Linked DNA regions of Callithrix jacchus. The protein of the gene in region 3 binds, or shares a complex with, the protein of the main gene of each other region. Links are inferred from orthologs where the notes say so. Each region holds a gene or a part of one and is shown on either strand. Other genes may lie near its edges.

Region 1 (7,595 bases), on a different chromosome or scaffold from region 3:
AAAAATATATTTTATACATTTTTGAAAAGGAAAATTAAGTTTAGATCAAATTTAATGAATATTCAAAAATAACTTGCCGGGCGCGGTGGCTCATGCCTGTAATCCCAGCACTTTGGGAGGCCAAGGCAGGTGGTTCACAAGGTCAAGAGAGTCAGACCATCCTGGTCAACATGGTGAAACATGTCTCTACAAAAAATACAAAAAAAAAATTAGCTGGGCATGGTGGCGAGGGTCTGTAATCCCAGCTACTCAGGAGGCTGAGGCAGGAGAATTGCCTGAACCCAGGAGGCCGTGATTGCGGTGAGCCAAGATGGCGCCATTGCACTCCAGCCTGGATAACAAGTGCGAAACTCCATCTCAAAAAAAAAAAATAATAACTTTTGTTGATCAAATTATTTTTCTGCTTGAAACTTTTGAAATGATCCAAAAAATTTTTAAATGACTTAGGTTTGCTATTACAAAATGCTTGTCTTTTGATGTCACAAACATATACTATAATTACTGGCCAGAGAGAATTGCTCTAAGTGTAATGAAAAGAGAAATGATTGATGAGCAGCTATGCTTATAAGTGAGGGTGAGAACACCATGGGCAGTTCCAAAGCTGAAAACAGAAAATATATGTGGATTTATATTAACATAATTGGTATTCCTGGATAGTTAAAAATGGCTAAACTGTAGCAGAAGCCCAAGTAATTACTGTTAACAGAGGCATAAATTTGCGGGCAATAATAATAATAGACCAGGCATGGTGGCTCATGCCTGTAATCCCTGTACTTTGGGAAGCCAAGGCAAGCAGATCACCTGAGATAAGGAGTTCAAGGCCAGCCAGGCCAACATGATGAAACCTTGTCTCTACTAAAAATATAAAAATTATCTGGGTGTGGTGGTGGGCACCTGTCATCCCAGCTCCTTTGGAGGCTGAGGCCAGAGAATCACTTGAACCTGGGAGCAGAGTTGCAGTGAGCTGAGATTGCACCACTGCACTCCAGCCTGGGGGACAGAGCAAGACTCCATCTCAAAATAATAATAATAATAATGCCACCAACAATACTAACATTTACTGAGTGCTTACTATGCACCAGATATTGTTCTAAGTGTATACATATTATCTCATCTAACCATCCATAATACTGTGGTACAGACACTTTTATATCCATTTTACAAATAAGTAAACTGAGGTATAGAGATATTAAATGACTTGCCAGTAAGTTTCAAAGCCTGTGTATAAGCTCACTCTTGATTCTGGAGACAGTGATTCTTAACATAGTATCTTCAGAATGTTAAACTAAAAGATTTGTAATTTACAGAATTAGTTTTTCCACAATTAAAAAAGAAATTATGAGTAATTATTTTGAGTTCTCTTCAGGCATTTCCCTTAGTTCTTTTCAAGATCTAATACATATCATTTAGTGTTGTAGATCTGATAAACAAAAGTAGCACAAAGATCAAAGTTTTTTTAGAGATGGAGTCTCGTTAGGTTGCCTAAGCTGGAAACTCCCTAGGCTGGCACTACCAGGCTCAAGGAATCCTCCAGCCTCACCCCGCTCAGTAGCTGGAAACATCTTGTCAGCTAGGTCAACATTTAATTATAACTTTATAGGTCTACTGACCAGTTAAAAAGAGGTGCTGTATACATTAGTTGTTGTCAGAGTTTGATGTCTTTATATAGGCCATTGTTTTTACATGCTAATACAATTGAAAGCCAATACGGATATCTCTGTTTACATCCCAAAGCTAGGTTTTAACAAGAAACTCATAAGGCAAAGGTGAGAAGTAAAATAATTTAGTATCAAGTGGAGATATATTTGCAACGTTCCTTGGTTGAGCTCAAAATATATTCTTTTTTTCTTTTAAAAGACTGACAGGCTTGAAGCTTATGCCTCCAAAGACAAAAGTGATTATTTAGTAGCTTGCAAAGTTGCCAAAGGCCATTTTTTTCTACTGAATTTGGTTTATACTCTTATTAAGGTCATTTATACCTATTTGTAACTGCTTAACATAGTTTCAGATTTTAAGATTTCCCTGCAACTTCATTTCCCCTGAGGTTTACAGCAAGAGAAGTTAGTTTTTATTTTTAATTAAACTCCACCACAGAAAAACTTAGTGGACAAGGAGAGTTCCCCTGTGTTCCATGGCAGAGTGCGGTGGGTGACACTGACCCGTGGTTAGGTAACCTGACAAGGAAAGACCCGTTGTAACACATCTGAACAATGAGACCAATGGAAGGGCTTGCTGCCACGAGGCGAAGTCTGCTTTTTTGAACTAGGAACTCAATCAGAGTTGGGCGGCAATCCTGCCCAGCACTGCGGCGGAAGAGAAAGAGAGCCGGAGCCTTACATTACTGCACCAAGAGTATGAAAATATGATGCAGGTTTGGGACCCGGCAACTGAAATCCCTTCTCAGCAGCGCCTCCCAAAGCTGGCCACCGCCTTCCTTAGGAGAAAGCCCAGAGTCCCCAGACCCGGGCTGAGCCGCGCCCCCAGCTCTTTTCTCTTTCCTCCGCAGCTAAACACAGACGAGCACGTGAGCGGGGCAGCGCGTCCCAGCTGTGCCTCAGCTGACCGCCTCCTGATTGGCTGAGAGCGACGTGGGCTGGGGTGGGGACTGGCCGCCTGCGTCGCTCGCCATTGGCTTTCGGGGAACCCGCCTCCACCTCAGGTGAGGCGGGCCTGCGGGAGCAAGCGCCGGCCCGAGCAGGCGGCGGGCGCGCTCCCGCCCGCTCTCCCCTCTCCGTGCGCCGGAGCGCGCTTCCGCCTCCTCTCCCCTCCCCGCGCGCCGGAGCGCGCCTCCGCCCTTGCCCGCCCCCTGCCGCTGCTTCAGCTTCTCAGTGCACAGAGCTGCCTCGTCTGAGGGGACGCGAGGATCACCCTCGTCGTCGCTTCGGCCACTGCGTCGGGCTGGGCCCTGACAAGCCGCCCGAGGAAAGAGGCTCGGAGTCTGGCCCGGACCCCGGCGATTGCCGCCCACTTCTCTTCCTTCTGGTCTCACGAGCGGTTTCCCGCCTCGCACCTCCACCTCTGGACTTGCCTTTCCTTCTCTCTCCGCGTGTGGAGGGAGCCAGCGCTTAGGCCGGAGAGAGCCGGGGGGCTGCCCGCCGTGAAGGCACGCGGGGACCGATTCACCATGGAGGGCGCCAGCGGCGCGAACGACAAGAAAAAGTAAGCCTATTCCCTCGGCCGGCCGCCTTCGCCGGCGCCCCTGCCCGCCGGCCCGCCCTGGGCTCCCGGGCCAGCGTCGGCGTTCCTGGGGGTGGGGGGGGGCAGCCTTTTTTGTTTCTGCCGCTTCTCCTCTCCCCTCTCTTTCCCCCAACCTCGCCGGCCAGGCTCCCCCGCTGTCCACGTCGCCATCTTGTCGTGGGGGGTGGGAGACGCCTCTAAAGTGCTTTCAGGGGCCGGGGTCTGAGCCCTGCTCGCCCTCCCCGCCGGCCGTGGGGGCCTCGCGCCGCCCACCTACCCGCCTCAAAAACCCAGCCTGCTCTGTGGCCCCATCCGGAGGGGACTTTACCCAGCCCGAAAACCCCGAGAAGAGAAATGAGCTGCAGCTCGGTCGTCGCGGTTTGCACCCGGAGCTTCCGCTCCTTCCCGCCCCCATCCCCTCCGGTTCCATTGAAAACTCGGCCCTGGGGCGGACCCTGCACGCTGGTCCTGTCTTCCCTGTGGGCTCCCGGCCCTGAGTTCCGGACCGACGGACTCGCGTGGTCGGATGCGATCTTGTCCTGTGGTTGTCCAGCCGTCGCGGGTGTCTTTGCCTTTGTGCATTAAGGGATTTGCCGCGATGGCTTTAAGATGCGAACTTTTTAGTTTGCACGTGCAGGTTTTGTTTTAATCGCCTTGAAAAACTTGCCTAGACCGAGAGTCAGAGTAACGGGAATTTAGGGAAATAGCAACATTTTAAAGAGAACTTCAGAATTGAATACTTGTGTTCATATCACCTGTCACGGCAACGCAGATATTATAAATGAATATATGCCTCATTAATTCTTGAAATAGTGAAAATGTAGGGGCTGATTAAATGTAGGCAGTTTTAGTGATATTGAAGAAAAAGCGTATGATGAGTTAATGAAATACGGCACTAAAATGATGCAAAAATTTTGGAATTGTCTCATTTTTCTGAAATCGAAGTATATTAAAGGAAAACCTTTAACATATATCCAAAGTAAATAATCACTCGGTTAGAACTGAATCCGAGTTTTATAAATCACCTTGAAGTTGTAGTCTAAGGGGTACATTAGATATTAAAAATTGTGATTTGTACCAGTGGTGTTAAGAGCTAACTTCCCCATCCCTCAACACACACACACAATTTTGTCCACTTTGGTATTTAAACTTTTAAGGAAATTATTTTAAGGAATTGAAGATTTAGAGTAAGAGTTTTGGTTAGTAGACTGGCTTTGCTGGCAAATCCTTCCACTCTCTGGGAGAGAGATTAATTTCCCTAATCAGTATCAGCAGAAGATAAACTTGTTTATATTCTTGTTGTTTTGTAGATCCCTTCTCCTGGTCCCTCTTCAGTAGAATGTTAAATTTTCAGTTTGTGTACACCAGAGAAGGCACTAATAAAATTCAAAAAGTGAGCGAACAGGTCTAGATTAATTCCAACAGTTACCAGGAATTAATTGCAGTTTATTTTGCGGAGGTGATTACAGTGCTTTTGATGAAATGATGAGCTGCTATATTGTAAACCTAAGGCAGATTGCCTCTCTATAGTGCCAATTTTCTGTCCTTATTATATATTGAACCATACTTAATACAATGCATTAAATTATGCACCAATCACTTCCTTTTTATATACAGTATCGAACTCATTTCTTTGCCATTCATCAGTTCAGAATGTCAGAAGCAGCTTTGAAATAAGTGAATAAATAAATTAGCTACTGTTCCTCAGCCCCAATTCTAAATGAGTTTCTTAGATTTTCCTCAGCCCATGTGTTACTTTCAAAATGTTCTCACTTAAAAAGTTAGAACCTTGGATAGAATGGACTCACATTTCTTAATATAGAAGATCTTGATATAACCGAGAAATTAAGTTAAACACTTAATAAATGGTGGTTACTCAACACTTTTAGATGCTGTTTATAACAGATGACCTTTTCTAACTAATTTACAGTTTTTTGAAAGATAACGGAGATTGGGGGATGGGGATTTTCTTCATGCAGTTTTTTTTTTTTTTTTTTTTTTTTTTCGTTTGAAATGAGCTCCCAGTGTTGGAGTTTGGGAAACAAATTTGTCTTTTTAAGAGAAGGTCTAGAAAACTCAAAACCTGGAGAACTGGAAGAAATCAGAATAGAAAATGGGTATAGTTATAATATTAGAGATTTAACATAGGACATTTCATGTGGGTTCCTTGTTATAGGGGCTGGACTTTAATAGAACGTGTATTTTGATTTTTAGATTTGTAAAGGAATGTCAAGAAAGTAATGATTCTGTTTCAGGCTTCAGGCCAGACCACTTCAAAGTTTTGCGAAACAAGTAGTTACTGAATCATTAAAGTAAAATTTCTGACAATAGATATTCCTTAATTTCCTTCTTTAATTTTGGACGTTAAAAGTCAAGAGGCTCTCTCGTTTATTAGCAAACTTTTCTCCTTAGAATTCTACTTTGATTTTCCTTTTGTTTGAGGAAGCAGCATATAATGATTAAGAGCATAGGATCTGGAGTCAGATACCTCGAGTTAAGGGTCCCAGCCCTTCACTGGTGAGCTTGAGCAAGTTACTGAATGCCTCTGAGCTGTTTTCCTCCTTTTGAAATGATAAGAATAGCAGCCATCTGAGCAGTTATTGTAAAGATTAAATGAGATAATGCATATAAAGCAGTTAGTTGCCTGGAATAGGAGTCTTGGTGACATTGTGTACTTGAAAATAGATGTTGCTTGTTAAAATTGTGATTTAAACTTCCACAACTCTTAGAACTCTTTTTGCTAGGCCTTCCAGCTATTAACTTTAGTTTCTTTTCTGCATCTTCATGCATCTTTCCTATCTTCTGAAAGTGAAAAGACTAACATTGGATCCAGAGTTTTAAAGGACTTTTTCCCTGCTAAAATGGGCAAAAGAGTACATCCAGCCGGGCGCAGTGGCTCATGCCTGTAATCCCAGAACTTTGGGAGGCCGAGGCCGGTGGATCACGAGGTCAAAATATCGAGACCATCCTGGTCAACATGGTGAAACCCCGTCTCTACTAAAAATACAAAAAATTAGCTGGGCATGGTGGTGCGTGCCTGTGATCCCAGCTACTCAGGAGGCTGAGGCAGGAGAATTGCCTGAACCCAGGAGGCGGAGGTTGCGGTGAGCCGAGATTGCGCCATTGCACTCCAGCCTGGGTATCAAGAGCGAAACTCCATCTCAAAAAAAAAAAAAAAAAAAAAAGTACATCCTGGGGTTATGTTGGCATCTAGCATCAGCTATTTTTCTTGAGCATCTGATCTACTCTGTATTCTAGGCCTCCTCCTTCAGAATTCCTCACCCCTGCGTTTTCTCCCCAAATAGAATACTTTGAATTTACTCTGGAAGCTAGAGTCAAACATACACAATATTCTAGTCTTACTGTTAATTTAAGCAAGATATGTGCAGGACACTGCACTTAAAACATTTTTTGGCTTGATGCCAAAGTTTAGACTATTTTATAAAAATTAACCTTTGTAAGATAATGAGTTGATAAAATATTCTCAGTAAAGCCCCTATATGGTAGAAAAACTGTCCTTTGAGTTTCTCCAGAGTTCAGACCATTGGGTTCCATCTGAAGGCAAGGCCTCAAGGTTGTCTTACTGGTCTGAGTTTTGTGGTTCAATTTGTAGGAAGTCTATATTAGTGCACTCTTTCATACATGTGTATTTACTGAGCTATCAAGTTATTTTAGACCTAGAAAGTATTGGAGTTCATTCCTATGGTCCACTGCAGAACACCTTGTTTAGTTTGGAGAATGTCAGCCTTTCTACCTGTTAACTTCCATTGTCTTTCCTTTTAACGCGTTGTCTTTCCTTTTAACGCATTGTCTTTCCTTGTCTTTCCTTTTAACGCGTTGTCTTTCCTTGTCTTTCCTTTTAACGGGTTGTCAATGGCTCTAATGGTGTCTGGGCTCAGGGTTTAGTTTGTGGCTACATTCTATTGTTGTATGTCAAGAGTGGTGTATAGAAAGCTGAGGGGATTTAATTAGTCTTTGGACTGATTGTATTTTTTCCTGAAGAACTCAAAACAGTTTATGATCTTTGGTGGTGAAATTAAAAATTTTTGTGCATAGATGTTAAAGATTGGGTTAAATAACTGCGTGTTCATAGATGCCTTCTCTCAAAAATTTTTTAAAATTTAGATACTTGCAATACAGTATCCCTTTATCTAAGATTAATGTAAGTCCATTTCTTAACCAGGAGAAAATAATCTAAATTTAAATGTGTTGTTGGATGAGTTTCCAATCAAGAAATTCATTTTTTAAACTTTGTGACTAGTTATCCAGTGGGTGGATTTTACCCACTGTGTGTATGTGTTTTCTGCTTAGCTCTGAAAGGTTAGAAACAGAATTTGAAAGTAAGACAAACCAACCTTCTTGTTGCTCAGTATTTTTGGTAAAAAATATGGTGAGAATGTTTAAATTAACCATAGGCT
Region 2 (7,465 bases), on a different chromosome or scaffold from region 3:
TGTCCCACAAATGTGAGGTCACCATCATAAGCCAAACAGTTATTTATCTAGGAGTTGGTGTGACCACCACTGTACCACACACTGTGGCTAATAGGAAGGAGGAGGTGAAGATAAGGAGACATCTGAAATAATGCCACATAGAAGGTGGCTACCCTTCAAAGAAGCCACCTTGGGAGAAGCCTATAACTGAATGCTGGTAGGTGGCCATTGCTCTGTCTTTTGGGAAGTCTTTTTAGAATTAACTTCAGAGCCACATAAGAAAATCCGATTTTTTCTTCAAAGGACACACTTCATTTCAAACCCCAAACAATATTACCCACCCCGTTAGTCACCAGACTTAGCTGTGGATGGATTGTGGTTGGGTGATAGGATAAAAAGTACCCTCAAAAGGTAAGGCTTTGCCATAATTGAAGGCATTGAAAAGAATGGCCTTAGCTCTGAGGGCCATTCCAAAGGAGTGACAAAAATGTTTGAGATGAAGGCAGTGTTCCAGTGGCCAGCGTTCTGGATACATTCTGATGTCCAAAGGCTGCAGTGATCAGTAGGGGAATCTATCACATAGGGGAGGAAAGGTATCAGTGTTAGACGGTGAAGACAGAAAATAGGCCAAGCACAGTGACTCATGCCTATAATCCCAGCACTTTGGGACGCTGAGGCAGGAGGATTGCTCGATCCCAGGAATTTGAGACGAGCCTGGGCAGCATAGCAAGAACCCATCTCTAAAAAAAAAAAATTAGAAATTAGCTGGGCATTGTGGCATATACCTGTGGTCCCAGGTACTCAAGAGACTGAGGCAGGAGGATCCCTTGACATGGGAGCTCACAGCCACAGTGAGCCATGCCCCACTGCACTCCAGCCCAGGTGACAGAGTGAGAACCCATCTCAAAGCAAAACAACAAAAAGTTACAAATTCAGAACAGAAAACATGAAATTAGCAAATTCAGAAGAAGCTGGCCAGATCAGACAGACTTTGACAAGGGAAAAAAGACATTCATATGCTTTAATACACATACCTCTCCTGAGGAGCATGGTCTCTATCCTGAAAGAGACCACAGCTCATCTGGGAGATAAGACTAATAATCCAGACTAGTATATCAAAAATCTACAAGACAGGACAAAGAAGAGGGAAGACATGAAGCTGCAGTGGCTAAAACAGGGGTGAATGCTTTCACTTGCCACTTTCCTGAAGGAGGATCCTGGAAAGCATCTCATACCTCAGCCTCCCAACCTCCCCTCCGCTGGGGCTGAGCCTCCAGCTCTGACCTACTCTGATGGTCTGTGTCCCCAGAGCAGAGGGCCTGGATTGCCGTTGGAGCTGACAGTAATGTCTGGGGCACACCCAACGTGGCCCTCTAATGGTCAATTCTGTCTGGGCTGTTTGGAGATGCTTATCCTCTGGCCCTCTCAGCCCCAGGCAGCCTTGTAGAAGAGAGCAGCAGATTCAATTACTAAGCAGCGCATCTGGGGCTTCAGATAACCCAGCTCTTTACGTAACCGGAGGACACGTGGACTTCCCAGCCCAGCTGGGAAAAGCTGTGCATACACAGGAGTAATCATAATGAACTGTCCCTGTGCTTAGCGTCATCAAGCCCAAGCCTTAGTGGGTGCTACAGTCTGCATATTTGTGTCCTCTCAAAATACTTATGTTGAAATTCTTACTCCCAATGTAATGATATTTGAAAATGGAACTGTTGGGAGGTGATTAAGTCATGACAGTGAAGCCCTCGTGAATGGGATTAGTGCAGTTGTAAAAGAGGCCTAGCAGAATCCCCTCACCCCTTCCACCATGTGGAGACATAGCAAGAAGGCACCATCTATGAACCAGAAAATGGGCGCTTACCAGACACTGAATCTGATAGGCATCCAGAACCATGAGAAATGAAACTGTTGTTTATGAGCTACTCAGTTTATGGTACCTTGTAGCAGCCCAAATGGGCTAAGACAGTGGGGCATTCTTTATTCTACATATTAGTGAATAGTACCACTTTACATTTGGATCACACATTATAATCTGTAAAACACTTTGTGAGTCAATCTGGAAATCTGTAACTAAACTTACAAATTTCACACAGTAGGACAGGAAGAGCAGCTACCATCATTCCCATTTAGGGATAAGGAAACACAGGTTTAGAAAGGTAATGGGAGTATGTGGAACTGGAACAAAACCCCCGAGTTCTGGCTTTTTCAAGGCCCTGTGAACAGACAGCCTGCTGCCAAGCAGCACTGGACACGCGGCACAATTACAAGCAGACCTTCATTATCTGTCCATCATATAACCTAGCTTTTCCCAACACATAATTTCCTTTTTAAAACTGCCTCGGTGAAGATAAGGGTAATGCATATTTAGTATAAGCAACTTGGAAAATACAAAAAGATATGAAGAAAATGAAGTGAGATCTCATTGGATTTATAAATTTTTACTTTGCTCTTTTTACTTAACAGGATGTCCCATTATTAAGAATTCTTTCGAAATATTCATAGTAGCCCACAGTATCATATCATGTGGCTGGACCACAATGCATTTTGCTATTCCCTTATTGCTTTTCAGTTATGGTTTCTAATTTTTAGCTGTTATAAATAACACTATGATGACTACCTTGGCATCAGGTATTGCGTATTTTTATAATAAAAGATAAGTATCCAGCTTGTTGCCAGCTCCCCATAGCCACCTCACAGTGACCCCACCCTCACCCCATGAAAGCTGAGTCAGCAAATTTGGCAACATTGGCATCCTCAGGACCACAGCCAGCATTACGGAGCTCAGAGCACGGGCCGCACTACTTCAGAGGGCAGTATCACGGGAAAGGAAGGCAGAATGCGCAATGGCCTCGGCCTTGGACCCAGGCTCAGCCCCCTTTCCCCATCGCGAGCTCTATCTAGACTGCTTCTCTTCCTCATGCTGTCTGCAGGTCAAAGCATCTGAAGAGAGAAGACCAGCTGTGCTAAAACTGGAGGCTTCCTTTGACTCTAATCTAGTTCTGGAAAAAGGGCCACCCTTGTTGATCTTCCCCCAGTGTAAAAATAAAGTGTTCTTTCCATCTTTCCCACCACAGGGATGTATAGAGAAGACTCTGTACCATCTTCGCTTATGAAAAAGTGGGGAGAAAGCCAGTGGGTGCAGGGGGCATTTGCCTCCCTCTCCACTGCTCTCTGCAGCCTCTGAGCTCTGCCACTGCCGGACCCCTGACACCACGCAGATTTCAGCTAAGGGACTAATTAACCTCAGCAAGCTGAGCTACTGACTATACAACCCAGAAACAACAACATGTGACTCTTTCCGGTAGAGAACTGCCTCTGTTTAATCCTGAATCAATCTTGTGGGGCAGGTATATCACTCCAATTTTACACATGAGGAGACAGACCTCCGGGATGTTAGTGGCATGCCCAGCCATCACCCAATGATGAAGCCAGCACTCAAACCTGGATCATGTGACCCTAAATCCCATATTCTTGATTGTAATTGGGTGACTTCCCTACAAGGCCAATAAGCAAATCCCTATTACAGGTTCAAAAAGTTAGCTGAGCTGTCCATATTGAGGGCCAAGCCTTGTAGGATGCGAAATCTGATGAGCTTTTTGAAACATACACTTGGTGTGAGAAGCAGCAAAGTGAGACATGCTGGCCACCCTCTTGCCTGAGGTCAGCCCCTCAGTGGGCAGGCCAGCCCCCTTGGGATAGTTCTTAGCTTGGAGAAGTCTTTAAAAAAAAAAAAACGGTTTGTACTTTTACTTTGCTTGTGGAGTCTACAGCTGCCATAGATTGTTTCCTTCTCAGTAGACTGTTTTCTTTGGTGCCACCTCTCTGGGCTTAGAGGTATTTCCCCACACTCAGGCTGTTACCAGATCTGATTGAGATTTTTTCCTTAGGGCTTCTACCCATCAGCAGCCTTCTTCCTTTGGATGTCACAAGCTTCCAGCAGCACAATCTGTGGTTTGGCTCAAACTGTTCTGCCTGTGCTGCCATCCTGTTCCTACAATACTGCCTTCAGCTAAGAAAACTGACAAATTGCCAGCAGTAGAATCAAGAAGAAAGGGCCCGAGATGTAAAATGAGTTCCTCAGCATGAAGCGAACTCCCTGGGGAAAGTGGGGAGTACCTTCCCTCCCCTTCAGCCTCTAGAGGGGACTTAGCTCCTGCTGCTGCCCCTCCCACTCCCTGCCCAGAATACACTCTCTCCATCTCCTAGGTCTGTCTGTACTATGCTCATATTTCAAGAGCGAGCATCCGTTTCCCCCAGGAAGGCCTCACCTGTGCTGACTTCTCCAAGTCCCACTTCAGAGATTACACACACACGATTCAGCCCTGTGTTGCTCTCCCTTGATTTCACCTCTGTGGCTTCTGTCTCCCTAACTAGACTACATACTTCCCAGGGAAAGAACCCCATACCTGTTCTTTTGGGGTCCTCTAAAGCATCCGTAGTACAAAGTGGTACAAACTGGAGACATCAGATAGAAACCACTTCAATGACTTCAGTTCTGTGGATTCCTCAAAGCTGCTCACTGTTCTAGATCTTTCCTAAGAATTCTAACCCAGCTCTTGATTAGAAGAAAAGGTTTCCATCTGGGAAGAGTCACCCTGTGGACACTCAAAGTGTGTGTGTGTGTGTGTGTGTGTATGTCGGTGTTTGTCACCTCTGTCAATCAAATCTGGGGTCTGAACGAATGCTGCTGCTAACTGCCTGTGGAGTCACCCAGAGCAGCACCTCCCAAACTTTGCTGTGGCCAGGAATCACCCAGGGATCTTGTTACAGGGCAGGTTTAGGAGGGTCTGGGCTGGAGCCTGGCATTCTGCCTTTCTAACAACCTCCCAGATGATGCTGATTCTACTGGTCTGTGACCTCACATTTTGAGTAGAAAGAGACGCAGAGACACGAGGAATCTTGAGACTGAAGATGCCAACTGGGAGCACTTTGGGAGGCCAAAGCGGGCAGATCATGAGGTCAGAGTTCGAGACCAGCCTGACTAATGTGGTGAAACCCCATCTCTACTAAAAATACAAAAATTAGCTGGGCATGGTGGCACGCGCCTGTAATCCCAGCTAATCAGGAGGCTGAGCCAGGAGACTCACTTGAACCAGGAAGCAGAGGTTGCGGTGAGTTGAGATCATGCCACTGTACTCCAGCTGGGCGACAGAGCAAGACCCCATCTCAAAAAAAAAAGGCGGGGGGGGGGGTTAGTGCTGCCCGCTGCCATCCTAATCTGAAGTACATAAAGTCCAACAAGTCTGATCTTCTCTCTTGCCAGGAAGAATCCTATTCTCTTTGTATCTTTCTTTATGGGATTTTACTAAGCCCTACATTGATGTCCCTCTCCTCCTTCGTGTCTTCCCTACCTGTATCATTTTATCCCTTCCTATGTCTTCAAAACCCACCCCTCAGACCAGCTCAAGCCCTACTTCCTCCAGCAGTGTCCCTGGCCCCTCAGCAGCATTCTCCAGAGCACTTCCTGCCCACATTACTCACAGGCTCTTATTAAAGGTCTCCCTGTCTTGCTGGCTTTTCTATGCAAACTGGACTATAAGTACCTGGGGAAGGGCACAGACACAACATCCTTTACTTTGGTGTACCCTTCACTAGAACCTGGGCCAGAGCAGACAAACTAGGCAAACATTTGCTAACAGATTGTAAAAGACAATCAAAAAATGCCCTTTACTCTTTTCCTTTCCCTCTCCAGAAGGAAAGAAAAAGTGATCCCAGCTGCCTTGGCCTCCATCCCCAGCCCAGCCTCGCTCCTCTCCTGGGTGCTGCAGCTGGGGCGGCTCAGATTTTATTTCGCTCTCTACAGCTCCTCTTCCCTTCAGTGAAGAGTTAAAACATTGGGAAGGCTCCTTCCCACTTGGAAATCTCCATTTCCTCCTGCAGCGTGAACAAGAGAACTCTATGGACAGAGGCTGAGCGAGCCAACTGCGCAGGGAGTGAACTCACTCTGAATGGTGCTGTTCTAACACCCGCCAAGTCAAGTCATTAAGATGCCATCCCCGAGGTGCAGCCCCCAGCGTCACCTCTGGATATCCATATCCTCAAGCCCGCCAGCAGAAAGGATGAATGGTGAGCACAGAGCTGGTGAAAGCAAGCTCTTTCATGAGCAGGGCGTGAGAGGACCTCTCTGGTTCTTCTAAGGTGGGGGTGGGGTGCTCCGGAGTAGAAGTTGTCCTCCTCTCTCCCACTGCCTCCTCTACCACACCAAACTAAAATTAACCCTCAGATTTACCGGGAGTTACCCAAACGATTGCTCCACACAAGGCAACCAAGAAGCGGGGTGGGTAATAGCATTAGAGAAAATATCTGCAATGCCAAAAATAATCACTGTGTCATGAGAAAACAGAGCTGGGCTGCCTCAGAGGCCAGCACTGGGTATATACAGGAAGGAGGGGGCAGAAATTCCCCTGGCAATGTCGTCAAACATTCTGGATGGAAAAAGGCAGGGGGGTGGGGGAGGTGAAGGGAGTGGTGACGTGCATAACCCGGACAGGCAGTTGTCAGAGAGAACTCTTTTCAAGTACAGAATATGATTTTAAGGGTCAGTTCTCTCTTCCTTATTTCAGATACTTTAATTTCAAAGAAAACAACACTTGTTTAGACTTTTAATCAAGACTGATGCTTGATCACATGGTAATAGTGAAATATCCTAGACTCTGCCTTACTAATCCCAACATGTTGCAGAACTTCTGGTTCCCGGAATTTGAAGTATTTCAAAACAGCAAGAGAAGCGGGAGAAAGCACGGGATCCCTCACTTCCTACCCCCATCCCATAACCCCTTCTCCCCTCTCTGTTAAAAAAAGAAAAAGGAAAAGGAAAAGAGGAATGAGCTGGTAGAGAATCTCTCTGGGGCTTCCTTTATAAAGAACCTTGATCTGAGGCCTGTTCACATGTCCAGCATTGTGGGATCTGATTCATGCCACAGTGCAAGCACTTGCTTTCTCCCAATTCTGCCCCCTCTTGCTCTGATGAGAAGTGAGATGTCTGTGCACATTTCCATTCCTTTGTAAAGAAGTCATCAAAAGCCACAGGAAATGCTAAAAGTCTTCTCCAAATTTATATCATGATCTCAAATGATAACATTGAGCAATTTGGGAAACAGAATTGTACTTTTTCCCCCAGAAATGGCTTATTCCTTCCACTAATTCAACCTATATTAGTGATTCCCTCTTCCTCTGCTGGGGCTGTGAGCAGTAGAATGAAATGTAGAACAACTGTCCCTGACCTCAGGGTGCTTGCAGACAAGTGAAGAGGCAGGTCCTGAAGAGTGGGCTGAACAGTCAGTGCTGTAGGAGTTTGGGAGGAGAAAGCCCACGAGCCTGGAGAAGATAGGGAGAACTCTGCTGGAGGCAGGCTTTGAAGGAAGAGCAGGACATGGGGAGGAAATCAGGATGGCAGAGGAATGACAAAGACACACTATGGGAATGGGCACAGGTGCCAGTGGTTGGGAGACAGGCTAAGAAAAGGTAGCAAGGCAGTGAGAGTCTG
Region 3 (7,422 bases):
CTTCTGTAAAATTGGCATAATAATAGTATCTACTTCATAGCATTACATGATGATTACATTATTTAATACTTGTAAAATGCTTAGAACACAGATTGGGCACACAATATTAAGCATCGCGTATGTTTATAAAATAAATTCCTCTGTGCTGCCTTCTGGTAACATTTAAATAAGTAAATAAATAAATTAAATATATTCTTCCATGACATTCTGAAGTCTGTCTATAAGAGCTGAGTAAGTGGCCACTGGTACAATGCTACCGGAGTTCCAGAATCTGGTTGGCGACAAGATTGTTCACCAGCAAATGGTGTGGTGAAACCTCACTAATTTGGAATTCGTTCAGATTATTAAGCCTGAATAGGTGGAAATCCTGAAATCAAGGATCTTTGGAACTATTTGAAATCAGTATTTTATATTTGTCCATTCTATTTTTAAAATATTGCAAGTGTTATACTTGATGGGTTAAGTATATTTAGGATATACATGTTTAATTTGTGATTTTGTATACTTAATTGGAACAAGAAAGCTTATAAAGGTTTTGATATAGACATCTATTCTTTTAAGTAAAATTCAGTTAAAATACATGAGAAGAGCATATAGAGATGTAAATAATTTTTGGACACACCATAGATTGAAATAGTGAATTTTAAAGAAATTGTTGTAAGAATCAAGTTTCATGGAATGAGTGTTCCTAGTAAAGTTCTTGCTCTTGTGAATAATTAATAATCACTTATAATTACTGTAGTAAAAGAAGGCCCAAGAGGTATTAGACTCTACTTTTATCTGTTATACTTTACATAATTTTTGTGTATGAAAAATGTTTTAAAAGTTTTTCGTAAGCCATGAGATAGCTGCTTTACATTTTAAGAATTTCTGAATTAATTTGCTTAGATTTTATTAGTGCAAACAGCAGAGCTAGATTCTTTCTAGATTCTAACATGAAATGTGTTTCTAAACTGCTGAATCAAAACATAGGTTCAACTCTCTGAGTTGAACACACACATAGCAAAGCAGTTTCACAGATAGCTTGCTTCTGGGTTTTAAAGCCAATTCCTTTTTCTGTGTTACCATTCCATCCTATTCATCCCTCTTTTAGGAAACTCCGAACTCTGGATTGTCCTTCTTTACATATCTGCCTCCTGCATTGGACTATGTGTCTCTGAGTGTAGTATGACTAATTCATTTGTTTGTCAAGGATAGTGTAGCACATGGTACACTCCCAATTCATCTGTTGAACAGCCTAATCAGTAATGTCTGCAACAATGACATTTTACTGTATTTAATAAAGCTCTGGGAAAGTAGGATACACATAAGACAGATCCAGGTCTTAATTCTTTACAGAAATGTGGATTTTTAGTTCGGTTTGGAATTTGAAGATGTGAGTATATTTACCTCAGTTTCCCAAATGACAAGCTGATTGAATTATTATCCTCTTCCACCTGACTGGATCCCCAGAATGCCATTTACGTATGTAGCAGACTTTTATAACAGTTTTAAATTATGTATATTTGATGAAGAGGTTTTATATTTTTGGATTCAAGCTTTATTTTTTTTAAATTCTACAATGTGGTTTATAGTAATTCCATACATCCTGCTTTTGAAATACATATTGCAGCTTCTTTAAGCTTGGAAGGCTATATCTCAAGGACTGAAGTTACAGTATATTCAAGTGATACACAAGCCTAGCACCGAATTTTCCACAGTAAGTGTTCGATAAAGACTGTTAAACTCTAAGTCACAGGCCTTTTTATTCTTAAGACAAATAACAGCAGAAACATCCTTGGCTTATTTATGGAAAGGTTTTTATGCTCTATAAAACAAAGAATTGTATCCATCAGCGTAGCACAGATTCTATTAAAAATAAATGTGAGAGTCGTTAATGTAGTAGTACTGCTCACTTACTACCAAAATTAACTTTTCAGGGATAATTCCATCAGTTTAAATTGGATATTGGAATAAGCACTCATTTGACTTGGTAGCCCAATCATGGGGGTTCGAACTCGGCGGGATTTCAAAGGTTTTAAAAATGTTTTTGATTTTAACCCTCAAATTTCATAACCTTTAAATTAGGTTGAAACGGGGCACAAGAGATTGGATTAACATCACAGTAATACTTATTTTTGTTCTTAACCATTTCACGGCTTCTTGAAATAGAGGCTGGATGGAGCAATGGAAAAAACAGCCTTGGAATCTGAGCGCCTGATTGCTGGATTCAGTCCCAGTCAGTTCTGCGTGACCTTGGGCAAGTTACTTTACTTCTCTGAATTTCCGTTTCCTCCTCTACAAAATGAGGATCACAGTAGCCACCTTGTAACCCTAACCCGAGCGCGCCTCGCACAACTCGCGCCCGCCTGCAGGAAGAGCAGCCATGATTACGCCGCCGCCGCCGCCGCTCCGCCACCCGCTCGCGGCCGGCGCCCTCCCCTAGCAGGTGTAGGCGCTGCCCGCGCGGCCCCACGCCTTTCCGCCGCTCGCGGGCCGGCCCCTCTGCGTCCCCGCGCAGGCCGCTGCGGGCTGAGGCAGCTCACCGGCCTCTGCGTCCCGGCCCCGCCCCGGGTGGACGGAGGGCGGGCGACCCGGCTCTGAGGCCGAGGTCCGGCCCCGCCAAGTGCGGAGGAGCGCAGGCGGCCCAGGCGCCGCGCCAGCGCCCAAGTGTGAGCGCGGCCCCCGCCCCTCGGCCCTCCCCCCGGCCCTCCCTCCGCCCCCTCCGCCCTCGCGCGCCGCCCGCCCGGGTCGCCGCGGGGCCGTGGTGTACGTGCAGAGCGCGCAGAGCGAGTGGCGCCCGCATGCCCTGCGCTCCTCCACAGCCTGGGCCGGGCCGCCCGGGACGCTGAGGCGGCGACGGCGGCCGAGGGGGCCGGTCTTACGCTCCCCAGGCCCGCGCGCCCGAGCCCAGGTTGCCGTTCGCCGCACAGGCCACGTTTTCTCAGCCCACGGCGGCGATGAGGCGCTAAGGCGGCCACCGGCTCTGCGCCGGAGCCTAGGACTCGGAAGCGGCCGGGCCGAGGGCGCGGGGTGCCGGCCTCCCTGAGGCGAGGGTAGCGGGTGCATGGCGCAGTAACGGCCCCGATTTCTCTCCCCGCTCCCCAGCCTCGGGCGAGGCCGTCCGGCCGCCACCCCTCCTGCTCGGGCGCAGCCGCCGCCGTTGCCGCCGCCGCCGCCATGGCCAATGACAGCGGCGGACCCGGCGGGCCGAGCCCGAGCGAGCGAGACCGGCAGTACTGCGAGCTATGCGGGAAGATGGAGAACCTGCTGCGCTGCAGCCGCTGCCGCAGCTCCTTCTACTGCTGCAAGGAGCACCAGCGTCAGGACTGGAAGAAGCACAAGCTCGTGTGCCAGGGCAGCGAGGGCGCCCTCGGCCACGGAGTGGGCCCGCACCAGCACTCCGGCCCCGCGCCGCCGGCTGCAGCGCCGCCGCCCAGGTCCGGGGCCCGGGAGGCCAGGAAGGCAGCGGCGCGCCGGGACAGCGCCTCCGGGGACGCGGCCAAGGCAAAGGCAAAGGCCAAGCCCGCGGCCGACCCCGCGGCGGCCGCGTCCCCGTCTCGCGCGGCCCCCGGCGGCCAGGCCTCGGCGGTGGCAGCGGAGGCCGAGCCCGGGAAGGAGGAGCAGCCGGCCCGCTCGTCGCTGTTCCAGGAGAAGGCGAACCTGTACCCCCCGAGCAACACGCCCGGGGATGCGCTGAGCCACAGCGGCGGCCTGCGGCCCAACGGGCAGACGAAGCCCCTGCCGGCGCTGAAACTGGCGCTCGAGTACATCGTGCCCTGCATGAACAAGCACGGCATCTGTGTGGTGGACGACTTCCTCGGCAAGGAGACCGGACAGCAGATCGGCGACGAGGTGCGCGCCCTGCACGACACCGGGAAGTTCACGGACGGGCAGCTAGTCAGCCAGAAGAGTGATTCGTCCAAGGACATCCGAGGCGATAAGATCACCTGGATCGAGGGCAAGGAGCCCGGCTGCGAAACCATTGGGCTGCTCATGAGCAGCATGGACGACCTGATCCGCCACTGTAACGGGAAGCTGGGCAGCTACAAAATCAATGGCCGGACGAAAGTAAGTGTGGGCTGCGGGTTTGCGCTGGACATGCCCTTCTCGGCGGGCAGCCCCTCTCGTGACGGTAACTGCCTAGGCTGAGGAGCAGCCTTCCTCTGTATAGAAAGGACTTTGTGTATAGCACCCCGTAAGGAAGACGGACAGAATTCGGGGTAACTGTTTGATCTGGTTAGCCGCTTTGTGTCCGCTGTTTTCCACTTACTGCCAGTCCACAGACTTCTCCGGCTAATTGCATAGTTTTCTGGCTAAACGTAGGCGCTTTAACTTTGCTACTTTCTTCTTTTCTTCCATTCCACTGTTAGTCACAATTCATTCCTTAGTGGCGTTTTAGCCACCCAGTGAGGGGGTGTTAGAGTACCACCCAAAGCAAGTCCTGATGCTGCATCTGTCTTGTGTTTGCATAAGCACTTAAATTTCCTGTGCTGTCTGAATCACTCGTCACATTTTGATTGAGAGTCAAACGCTGTGTTCAGTTAAGAATTTGCCGGCTGACCACAAAAAGGTAAATTTAAGCGTTTAGTCGAAAGACTCTCCATATTCAGGAAGAGCGTGGCTACTCCCCTCCCCCTCTTATAGCTCCTACCCTCTCCCTGTTCCTACTGTTTTGAAACCCATTACAAAAAGGGAAAAGAAGTATTTCCGTTTTCGGATCTCTCTGTGTAGGTAGGCTACATTTTTAGCATTGGTTTCCTTTATTTGCTTTGTTAATGTTATCCTTCTGTTGAAAAAGAACTGTTTTGTAGCTTCCTGGAAAAAACAACACGAAATTGGAGCAGGAGGACTTGTTTTATCCTCCCAATTTGGTGAGATCTTTTTGTTTTCTCTTTACTGTTGCGTTTTTTTCTCCACAGATTTCTTCACTTCCTACCTAGTCTATTTTCTCTTTTTCTCCCTCACGGTGCACTCTTTCTTCCTTAATACTCTCTTGCAGGTCTTATTCATTTTGCTTCTCAGATCTTGATCTTTTCTTTATATCCAGCTACTCCCAGGCCTCCCTCCTCCACCATCAGTCTCTGTCTGATTTTGTGAGTTTTGAGAGATGGACTTGGGAGAGCATCACACTTACATGTTTGTACACACATGCTGACTCTTCCCAGTGGTTTTTTTGGAGTGTGTGTGAGACCATCTGTTTTGACAGTCATTACATGTGATTCTCAGGCTGCTCGGAAGGCTGAACATAGGCAATGAGAAAAATTATAAACATGAAAATTTTGTGGGGAAAAATACAATGTGGAGTCTCATTTACGTATTGCCACTTCATTGCTGGGTGAAGGCACACATCTTAATTTCATGTAGTCTTACGAACAGTTGAATCATATTAAACTGGAAGGAAAAGGGGGATCTGATGAAATCTCAGCCTTGGTCTTTTACTAGCTTTTCATTGATACTTTTAAAAATGAACGTTGTCATGGAACACATCTGAACATAAGTCCTGAGCTCAGAGCAGGAAAGAAATTAGTTTGAGGGAACAGGGCTGTGAAGACTGACCAAAGTATATAGTTGGGACATAAGTTTAAATTGGATTCTTGAAGATGATGTCCCAAATCTTTCTTGATCTGCTTTCCTTAGTTAATTTAGCTTTCCAAGTCCTTTCACCTGTCATTCTTAGATAAGGGACAGCAGACAGCCTGGCTCTGAGAGCAGTTGCTTCTGGTAGGGATGCTATTAGAAAATAGCTACTGCCTTCCTCAAGAGTTCTAGTATTTGGGGTTTTAAGTCACCTAACTGTACCTAGTAACAGGTAATAAGGGACTGGATGAAGAAGGGATGGCCTTTAAACTCTTTGGATTTGATCTTATGCTTATATTAATTTTAGAGACACAACTTCAGGATCTATAAATGATATTCAGGAATTCCTTTAATTGTACTTCTTGGCTGAAAGAGGTTTTGGTAATTGTGTTTGAACATGTAAGTATTCCTGAAAAAACAAGGTTGTTTGCTTGGTGGAAATGAGAAGGCAATCAAAATACCACCCACTGTATATTGAGCAACCGCAGTGTGTTAGGCATCAGATTAGGGTCAATGCAGGTACAATCAGAGTAATTTTTTTTTTTTTTTTTTGAAGCAGGGGCTTCCTTTGTTGCCCAGGCTGGAGTACAAGGCTATAAGCATGGCCCACTGCAGCTTCCACTTCCTGGGCTCCAGCGATCCTACCACCTCAGCTTCGAAGTAGCTGGGACTGTAGGCACAGCTTGACTGTGCTGTGCTAGACCAAATGAAAAACATTTTTTTTGTAGGGTCAGGGTCTTGCTGATCATTTGATCTTGAACTCCTGGGCTCAGGTGATCCTCCTGCCTGGACCTCCCAAAGTGCTGTAGTTACAGACTTGAGCCACCTCTTGTGGCCACAATAATCTTTATGCAGTGGGTAGTGTTATTCGTAATTTACATTTGAGTGATTTTCAGCTCAGACTTGGCAGAGGTCTACCACTTATAGTAACCTAGCAGGTGTTCAGGCTTAAGTCATTCAGCTATCGAACTTAAGCTTTTTTTTTTTTTTTTTAACTACACTAGTTATAGGTAGAACATTAAATGAGATGTAGCTTACACACTGTTGGAACTGCAATTTGATATATATTTTTTGTTGAAAGGGGGTGAATAGTACTAGCTTTATATGTGAATAATCATACTCTATGGTTGGGCTCTAAAACTTTTTATTAGGTGACTGTGCAATGTTTATTTCAGATAGTGGCTGAAAAATCCACTTTTGTATATATCCACTTGAATTATGCACCTGTTGGTATAAGTGTTAAGAGATGTCAGAATATGGTTTTTGTATGTGATTGCAGAGGGAGACTTCAGTTTAGAATTTTATTATTCTTCGTAACATGATAGTGATTTTAAAAGTTCTGTGCAGCAGATGTGTAGTATTTTTCTCATGTCAGCTTTCAAAGCAGTAGGTAGGTGGTTGTATCTCTTTTTATAGATTAGAAAAGTGGGACTCAGGAAAGTTAGTTCACACGTTGGAAATTCTGCAGCATATTAGGCCTTAAATTCAGATTTTCTGACTAAGAATCTGATGTTCTTTTTTATTTACATCTATATTGCATGTTCTTTATGTCAGGGCCTGGAAATCAGATGATACATGATTGGCTGTGGCCCATTCAGTGTAGGCTTTGTTTTCCCCTGAATTTCTACTTCAGACATCCTTATCTGGCCACTGTTTATGCAACTACTTTAAAAAAAGGAACCACAGGGGAAAAATGAAGTAATACAGGAGAAAAACAAATGTAATTGTAGTCACTGATGTAACCAAGCTCCTGTTTCCACTTTCTCTGGTCTTTTTGGGATTTTCCCCTTTTTGCCCTTACCCTGCCCTTTGATCCTGTGTCTTGCTCATGCTTGTTTTCATTAAGAAGACTCAGTGATACCC

The links.
Region 1: the proteins of EGLN1 (region 3) and HIF1A are in contact, whole or in part, in a crystal structure (PDB 3HQR), measured with the Homo sapiens proteins. The link is inferred for Callithrix jacchus from reciprocal best matches to the Homo sapiens genes EGLN1 and HIF1A. Residues at the interface, in NP_071334.1 of Homo sapiens: Gln239, Leu240, Val241, Ser242, Gln243, Lys244, Ile251, Arg252, Trp258, Lys262, Asp277, Ile280, Arg281, Ile292, Asn293, Gly294, Arg295, Thr296, Lys297, Tyr310, Val311, Arg312, His313, Val314, Asp315, Pro317, Asn318, Asp320, Arg322, Arg370; in NP_001521.1 of Homo sapiens: Leu559, Glu560, Met561, Leu562, Ala563, Pro564, Tyr565, Ile566, Pro567, Met568, Asp570, Asp571, Phe572, Gln573, Leu574.
Region 2: the proteins of EGLN1 (region 3) and EPAS1 are in contact, whole or in part, in a crystal structure (PDB 7Q5X), measured with the Homo sapiens proteins. The link is inferred for Callithrix jacchus from reciprocal best matches to the Homo sapiens genes EGLN1 and EPAS1. Residues at the interface, in NP_071334.1 of Homo sapiens: Gln239, Leu240, Val241, Ser242, Lys244, Ile251, Arg252, Trp258, Asp277, Ile280, Arg281, Ile292, Asn293, Gly294, Arg295, Thr296, Lys297, Tyr310, Val311, Arg312, His313, Val314, Asp315, Pro317, Asn318, Asp320, Arg322, Arg370, Trp389, Tyr390; in NP_001421.2 of Homo sapiens: Asp525, Leu526, Glu527, Thr528, Leu529, Ala530, Pro531, Tyr532, Ile533, Pro534, Met535, Asp536, Gly537, Glu538, Asp539, Phe540, Gln541, Leu542.

What each region holds. Positions count from the first base shown.
Region 1 is NC_133509.1:96,404,107-96,411,701, forward strand, and holds the start of HIF1A (hypoxia-inducible factor 1-alpha), read left to right. Parts: upstream 1-2,827; 5' UTR 2,828-3,124; coding exon 3,125-3,159; intron 3,160-7,595.
Region 2 is NC_133515.1:68,437,001-68,444,465, forward strand, and holds the start of EPAS1 (endothelial PAS domain-containing protein 1), read right to left. Parts: upstream 4,769-7,465; 5' UTR 4,445-4,768; coding exon 4,386-4,444; intron 1-4,385.
Region 3 is NC_133520.1:53,461,850-53,469,271, forward strand, and holds the start of EGLN1 (egl nine homolog 1), read left to right. Parts: upstream 1-2,748; 5' UTR 2,749-3,159; coding exon 3,160-4,050; intron 4,051-7,422. UniProt on the Homo sapiens protein: Cellular oxygen sensor that catalyzes, under normoxic conditions, the post-translational formation of 4-hydroxyproline in hypoxia-inducible factor (HIF) alpha proteins.